2 linked regions of the Cricetulus griseus genome follow. The protein of the gene in region 2 binds, or shares a complex with, the protein of the main gene of each other region. Links are inferred from orthologs where the notes say so. Each region holds a gene or a part of one and is shown on either strand. Other genes may lie near its edges.

The links. Proteins that work in one complex are often made in the same cells at the same time.
Region 1: the proteins of Fbxl5 (region 2) and Ireb2 are in contact, whole or in part, in a cryo-EM structure (PDB 6VCD), measured with the Homo sapiens proteins. The link is inferred for Cricetulus griseus from reciprocal best matches to the Homo sapiens genes FBXL5 and IREB2. Residues at the interface, in NP_036293.1 of Homo sapiens: Asp656, Glu657, Tyr661, Cys662, Asp663, Asn664, Ile665, His669, Ala670, Asp671, Thr672, Ala673, Ser674, Gly675, Cys676, Gln677, Asn678, Leu679, Gln680, Cys687, Arg688, Ser689, Gly690, Glu691; in NP_004127.2 of Homo sapiens: Asp89, Phe90, Ser129, Asn217, Val220, Glu221, Arg224, Arg228, Ala758, Gly759, Ser760, Arg763, Asn764, Thr777, Pro778, Arg779, Asn782, Ser783, Tyr784, Gly785, Ala786, Arg788.

Annotation. Positions count from the first base shown.
Region 1 is NC_048597.1:166,526,433-166,530,185, reverse strand, and holds the end of Ireb2 (iron-responsive element-binding protein 2), read right to left. Parts: intron 3,584-3,753; coding exon 3,398-3,583; intron 2,727-3,397; coding exon 2,616-2,726; 3' UTR 449-2,615; downstream 1-448. UniProt on the Homo sapiens protein: RNA-binding protein that binds to iron-responsive elements (IRES), which are stem-loop structures found in the 5'-UTR of ferritin, and delta aminolevulinic acid synthase mRNAs, and in the 3'-UTR of transferrin receptor mRNA.
Region 2 is NW_023276807.1:112,367,790-112,371,442, reverse strand, and holds part of Fbxl5 (F-box/LRR-repeat protein 5), read left to right. Parts: intron 1-425; coding exon 426-508; intron 509-1,301; coding exon 1,302-2,024; intron 2,025-3,653.

The sequences.
Region 1 (3,753 bases), on a different chromosome or scaffold from region 2:
AGTTACTTAAGAGATATATATGGTTTTATAGCCACATATTATGCATAAAATTGATAAACAAAACAAAAAGACCACATCAGCACAGTCACAGTCCCCCTTGAAGGGGAAAAAATTCCATTGAAACAGTCAAAGTCTACTTCCTTTCCCTGTTTTTCCCCTCAAATCAATTATAGTATCATTATCCAGTATCTTAGTATCTTCTCCCTAGACTCAAAGGCAAAAAGGAAGGTGGTTTTTCAACCCCTGAAAACTGTCAAATTTTCTCATCCTGTCACCACTGAGAAGAGGAATGCACATTATATTGTTATCACATATGCAAATAACTTGACTCTGCCTGAGCTCTTCACTTTACAGCTTTTAGTTTAATACCAGTGAAAATCCAAACAGTCAGGTGAAGAGATGCCTCTCATCCAAGTGCTAACACAGAGAAAGAGATACCCGTTGCTCATTTGTATGAGCAACACAACTAAGGCACACAACAGCATGGAACACAATGCTTGAGACTAAAATGCTGCTGTTGGTAACTGCGCTACATTCACAATACTGATTTGCTTTTTTGTGTTCACTTCCTTTCCCAAATATTGGTAATGTTTAGAAAATAACACAAAAGTACTAAAAATAGTCAATGAAGGAAATAACACATTGAAAACAGGCATATTTTTGTAACATTTGGCTGGAGGCAGAATTACAAAATATACATACGCATTGAGACATGCGTTTAATTTTCCTCCCTCATTTAAAATCGTGCTTATTGAGATTTTAGTTCACTGTTTCTAAGCAAGAGAATAAGATTAAGATTTTGTTCCCGAAATACAATTTTTATACCATGACTGGACTAGGTGGACTAGAAATGTAAGTGTTTGATTCATAGCTGGGTTTATCATCTCTCATATGTTTATGTCCACATCTTTAGCTCAGACTATCGACAGAGTATGCTTTCAAAATAAGTCATTTCCCCCACAAATACATCCTGAATTACCATTTTTTCAAAGCATGTACCAGTATTTTAATACTCAATTTGTAACTTCTCCATTCCCAACTCAGGTTTCCATGCAGATTAATACATATGCATAGACAGACACATGGCTTCTACCAGAACACAATATGATTTCAAAGTAGGAAAAAAAAAAAAAAAAACCACTTAGTACAGAGACTTTGTTTTGTCAAACTCTAGTTCAACTAAGTACATATTTGAAAAATATTCTCAACAGACTGTATGACTGATTATGTGCAAAGTTCTCAGTGCTCTTCACCCACTGGTTTGGTAGTTGCTGAATTTTAGCATAAAACAAGTACTTTTGTTTTGTGCTATGCACAAAAACAGATCAGATGAAGAAAACATTTTTAAAAATCATTACATTTAACATCTTGCTGCCAAGTTTAATTTCTTCATTAAAATGTTATAGGGACTTCTAAAACAAATTTCCAACCCTTTAAAAAAATGTTTTAAAACACAAAGCATATGGTATAACAGATATAAATGCAACTGGGAACACATGACATGCAGACAGCAATGATCACCAAGAGTCTTATCCTTATGGTCAGTTTTGATTAAAAATTAACAAGTTATAATGAAATGAACAGATCCCAAATAAAGACTGATGTATCCCAAATAAAGACTCAAATAGCAGTAAGTCAACTTAAAGGACTGTAAAAAATAGCATTAAAAAATACTTAGGGGTGCATATCCATATAATTTTGGGTAGATAATTTATTTATTAGTCTAGGGGAAATCTAGAGTTGATTGAAGTTGTTTTCAGCATTTAGAAAAGGAGTGTGGAATGTCAGTTGATAATACCTAATTGAGGTTACAGAAGTTATAGTATCATGTAAAATAAGCAAAATCTAGTCTAAATTAATATACCAGTATTCAAGGCTTGTCAGAGAGTCACAGTGGCAAATTACTGAAAAATTACAGGGCTGTACCATAGGAGATATTTTTTTACTAATACATGATACCATACAATCATCTATATTTTGCAGTTATTTATCCTCAGACATGGTGTAAACTTTGGCTGGATTGGTCAGAGGGACTGTGATCTGGGGCAGGTTCTATTACTCAAGATATACTGAGACTAAGGGTAAATTTGACTTACATTACAAATTGGGAATGCTAACTGTGTCCCAATCAATCCTGGAAAGAATACACTTAAAAATTTCTTTATAAATTAGGTAGCCATTCCCAATATTTTAGGGACTAATCTGGATTCTTGTATTTCAACTTGCTATTCTTAAACCAACAAACAGTAGTCCAATTTTATAGGGCAAAACAAAACAAACTGCTTCAGAAAGGCTACTCATATGAATCTTCAACACAAGTTCAAATTCTGTCTTTATTTACAAAATGTTCTGATAAAATATAACCCCCATACTTACAGGCCTCTTCCACGACACACTTCACACGTTGATTTTTAGCAATGTTAATAGCACCATTCGTATATTATTTAAAATCAAGATTTCATTTCAGTCACTACATTGATTCATAATCATTTACATCCATGGATGACATAAACAAGTGTACTGGAATTATCTGCAGCTCCATGGCAAAGGTTCCTGGATCCAGCACAAAAGGCTTTGCAGTTACCAGTCACAAAAGATACCATGGCAAGTAGATACTATGAGAATTTTCGAGCCACAAAGTTTAATAAGCCTCCATGTTTGTACAAAGTTATCTCCACATCATTCTCAAATGATGCAATCACGCTGAATTCTTTTCCAGTACTTGTCTTTTAAACAAACAAAAAGATATGTGAGTGTCAGAGCTTCGAATAAGATCATTTGTATTCACATCCACTAACTCCCCGATTTGTTGCCTCATTTTCCTGGTCTAAATTCCTACATTTTGATTGCCCAAAACCCTTCCATTATTTAAAAACAATTAGCTAAATAGAAAAACAGGTATTTTGATCTCTAATTCTAAAGGACAAGTATCAGACTTTGCAATTCTATAGCATGACTTAGTTTTGCTTCCTTTATGAAAGTTATCACTCACTATTTACTCTTACTATACAGTAAGTGTCCATTACATATAATGTCTCTGTCCTTTTCTTTCTTTCCTTAGTTATAAAGGCTTAGTCTAACCCTGAATGCCGAACTTTAGCTTCTCTCTGGAATGGATTATTGCCTGGGTCAAAGTTAGATCAAAAGAGAAAGAGCTGAAAACCTGGCAGAAGCAACTGAACCTCAATCCTCTACCAGGCATCTTTTTCTAGGCTAAGCAACCAGTTCCTTCTACTTTTCCTCAGACAACATGAGCTCTATTAATAACAGAGATTAACAGCAAAAAGCTACAGCTTACATGCACTGACATTAGCATGCAATTAGAAACAATTCTTACTCAACTTACACCTATCTGAGTACAGAGTACACAATTATGTATTTGGAAATTTTCAGATACCTTCATATTTAATGTAATTCCAGGAGAGAGTTCTTCAGGAAATGATAAAGAAAATACTTCTCTACCAGAGAGTCCCAAGGAGTCTGCATTTTCTCCTGGGAGAAACTCAAGTGGAGCTATGCCAATTCCAATCAAATGATCTTTGTGGATTTTTTCATAACTTTCAGCCAAAACAGCCTTTACACCCTGTAACGGACATGCGTTTCATCACTTTTATTTTTATCACCACCACCACCACCACCACCACCACCACCACCACCACCACCACCACCACCACCACCACCACCACCACCATTAGTTTAGAGAAGATCTTGGTTTGTAGCCTAAATTGGATTCAAACTCATGACAATTCTGCC
Region 2 (3,653 bases):
GTAAAGTGCCTTTTGTGCAAGCACAAGGACCAGAGTTTGGATCCCCAGCATATACAGATAAGTGTATAATAGAATGTAACTAACCACAGTGCTGGGGGTCAGGAGAACTGTGTGCAGAGACAGCAGATTCCTGGTATTCATTGGCAGCTACACTAGCAGAACCTGTGGCTTTAGAGTTCAGGGAAAACAGTTATCAGAAAATTAAATGGAGGAAGATATAGGAATTAACTTCTGGGCTCCACATATACCACACAAACCAAAAGAATTTGAGCACAGAGTATATCTATTTTAATGTGTTCTTTAAGTTTTTTCTTTCAGTATGAGTATAGACTTAGGAAAAGCCAGTGGGTTATATTTAGTATTGTCTGTTGCTTATCTAACTAAAGCTCCATGTGTCCTCATGGCGACTTTCTTTTCTTTCTTAGGTTAGGCAGATTTTAGAGCTTTGTCCTAACCTGGAACATCTGGATCTTACCCAGACTGATATTTCTGATTCTGCATTTGACAGGTTATTTATTTTCAAATATAATAAATTCTGACTATGAAATCAGTAAAAAATTCTCTATTTTCTTGCTTACATAATCGCTGTTTACTCATTCTATATTCCTGCTAAATTCCTGCCATGTGTAGCTGTAACTTGCCTTTTGTTTATATATGGCAGCTGATCCAGAACATTTTTACAGCCATCTGTACGTAGTGTCTAAGCTTATGAATCTTGCTTTGTAACTTTCTAGATCAACATTACCCATTTTCAAGGTTTTATTCCAGTTTTTAAGTGCTATTTTTCAAAACTCCCTTTTAATTCATTGTTTTTCTGGTTCAGTACCAGTTTGTTCAAGCCACACTCTTTGCAAATGCTTCTTCCTTAGAGGCTACTAGTTTTCTTCTTATTTTAGCTTCCCCTTTCTTCCAAGTTCTGATATATCCTGTTTCAGAGGGAGAGAGAGATTCTTCTACCCATTTCTAGAGTTTGCTTCTTCTGAATCTTCATTATGCAGTATTGAGTCCTCCATGTGTACACTGCTTTTCCTCTACTGTTTACTTGTAGAATAGGACACTTACATTTCTCCCATCCATGTCTTTCTCACATCCTGTCCTCTACTAGGTTAGAAATAATACTTGTTTTTTTAATTACTTGTCTTAGTATCTTTTTGTATTCCTAGCACTAAAAATATCCCCTAATGATATAAATTCCAGAAACGTTTAAGTGATGATTTTGTATTTAAAATAATTCTAATGCTCATCTGTATGTATGTAGTTTAATGCTTTTGAGAATTTAATAGTCTTCTTTCCTCTTGTAGTTGGTCTTGGCTTGGTTGCTGCCAGAATCTTCGGCATCTTGATCTGTCTGGATGTGAAAAAATCACAGACATGGCTCTAGAGAAGATTTCTAGAGCTCTTGGAGTGCTGACATCTCATCAGAGTGGCTTTTTGAAAAGTGCAGGCAAGGCCACTTCAGCTCCATGGATAAATAAAGACATTACCATGCAATCCTCCAAGCAGTATGCCTGCTTGCACAATTTAACTGACAAAGGTGTTGGTGAAAAAATAGACAATGATCACTCTTGGACTAAACCTGTATCTTCTGAAAGTTTTACTTCTCCTTACGTGTGGATGCTAGATGCTGAAGATTTGGCTGATATCGAAGATGCTGTAGAGTGGAGACACAGAAATGTTGAAAGTCTCTGTGTAATGGAAACAGCCTCCAACTTTGGTTGTTCTTCATCTGGTTGTTACAATAGGGACTTTGTGGGATTAAGGACCAGAGTTTGTTGGCAGCAGCATTGTGCTTCTCCAGCCTTTGCATATTGTGGTCATTCATTCTGCTGCACAGGGACAGCTCTAAGGACTATGTCTGCACTCCCAGCGACTTCTACAATGTGTAGGAAAGCATTAAGGACTACATTGCCTAGGGCAAAAGACTTAATTTATTTTGGGAGTGAAAAGTCTGACCAAGAGACTGGACGAGTACTTTTGTTCCTCAGTCTATCTGGATGTTATCAGATCACAGACCATGGTCTCAGGTGAGTGATCAGTTCCAGTTATTAGGAAATGGACATATTCTTACTCATTCAGTTCAAGTGCATTGTGATATATAGAGGAATATGTATTTAGAAGTTTAATTGCTTAGTAACTGGCCACATTACATTTTTTTTTAATATGTTTTGGTGGGTTGATGTATAGGTTATTGTCTCAAGGGCATTGCAGAAGTACATTTTATATTGAGGACTTTGGAAAGCATGTCTGTTGTAGTTTGGTGTGATTTTTTTATAGCCTTGAAGTGCCTGTAACCAAATTGCTGTTGGTCTGCATCCACTCATTGCTGCTGTTGAGACACGTTTTAGTAAGTAAGTAGCCTTGGCTGGCCTGGTGCTTGCCTAGTAGACCAATCTGGCTTTGGACTCACAGAGATTGACCTAGTTCTGACTCCTAGGTGCTGAGATTAAAGACAACACTTGCTGCAATTTTGAGCCAAGGACTCTCACTCTGTCCCAGGCTGCCCTCATACTTGCTGCAATCTACTTCCTAGAACCACATGGGAGTTCATGAGTGCTTGAAACCTTCTCTAACTCTAGTTCTAGGTGACCCAGTGCTCTCCTCTGTCCTCTGAAGGTACCACATATCATCTTGATACGAACATACATGTAGGCATATCACATCCAGTTTTGGCATTGTTGGAGATCAAACCTATAGACTGTGTATTGTAGGCAAGAACTCTAGAAACTTTGTGACATCCCAGCCCTATAAGCACAATCTTTAGCATAGGATACTAATTGCCTTCAACTTCCCTATTACTCCCCCCCTTTTTTTTAGTGGAGAGAAAATTGGGGGTGAAGTGTTCAGTATCTCTGAGTGACTGACAGGCAGATCTCACCAGCCAGGTCTTCCATATGCTGTGGGGACCCACCTAGAACTGTTAGGTTATGAATACTCTTTTTCTTTTTGGATTTATTTTTAATTATGTATGTAGGTATGTGTTTTTCATTTGCACATATATGGGGGGTCTTTGCTGAGGCCAGAGTCAATGGATCCTCTGAAACTGGAGTTATGGTTGGTTATGAGCTGCCTGATACAGATGCTGGGAACAGAACTTGGGTCCACTGGAAGAGCAGTAAGTACTCTTAATCTGAGTCATCTCTCCAGCCCCTGTTAAATGGTGTTATAGGCAGTACATGCAGAAACATACACCTATATACATAATTAAAAATATGCTGGAATGGAGTTAAATACTTTAGAATTTCATGGGTTTTAATAATTTGATTTTGACCTGGCTTTCCTCCAAACTATTTCAGCTTCCCCATTCTGGGATAGGTGTATGCCCCCATGGTGGGCATATGTTTAAAACAGGAATTGATTTTTGTGTGTTGGTTTATTTATTCCTCTATTTTGTTGAACTTGTTATTGTTAACTGTGTTTTGTAGTGATTTTTTTTTCTTCTTTTTCCCTATATTGATGAAATAACCCAGGACATTATATGTATCAGACAAGTGCTTTTCAGTTGAGCTAAACTCCTAAGTCTGTGTGTGGATTCTTTAAGTTTTTCTACATCCAATGTCATTTATAAACAGATCATTTTCATTATACCTTTCCTGTTTGGATGCATTTGCTTTATTTTGTTTACTCAGTTGATCTGACTAAACTTACAATGTTTT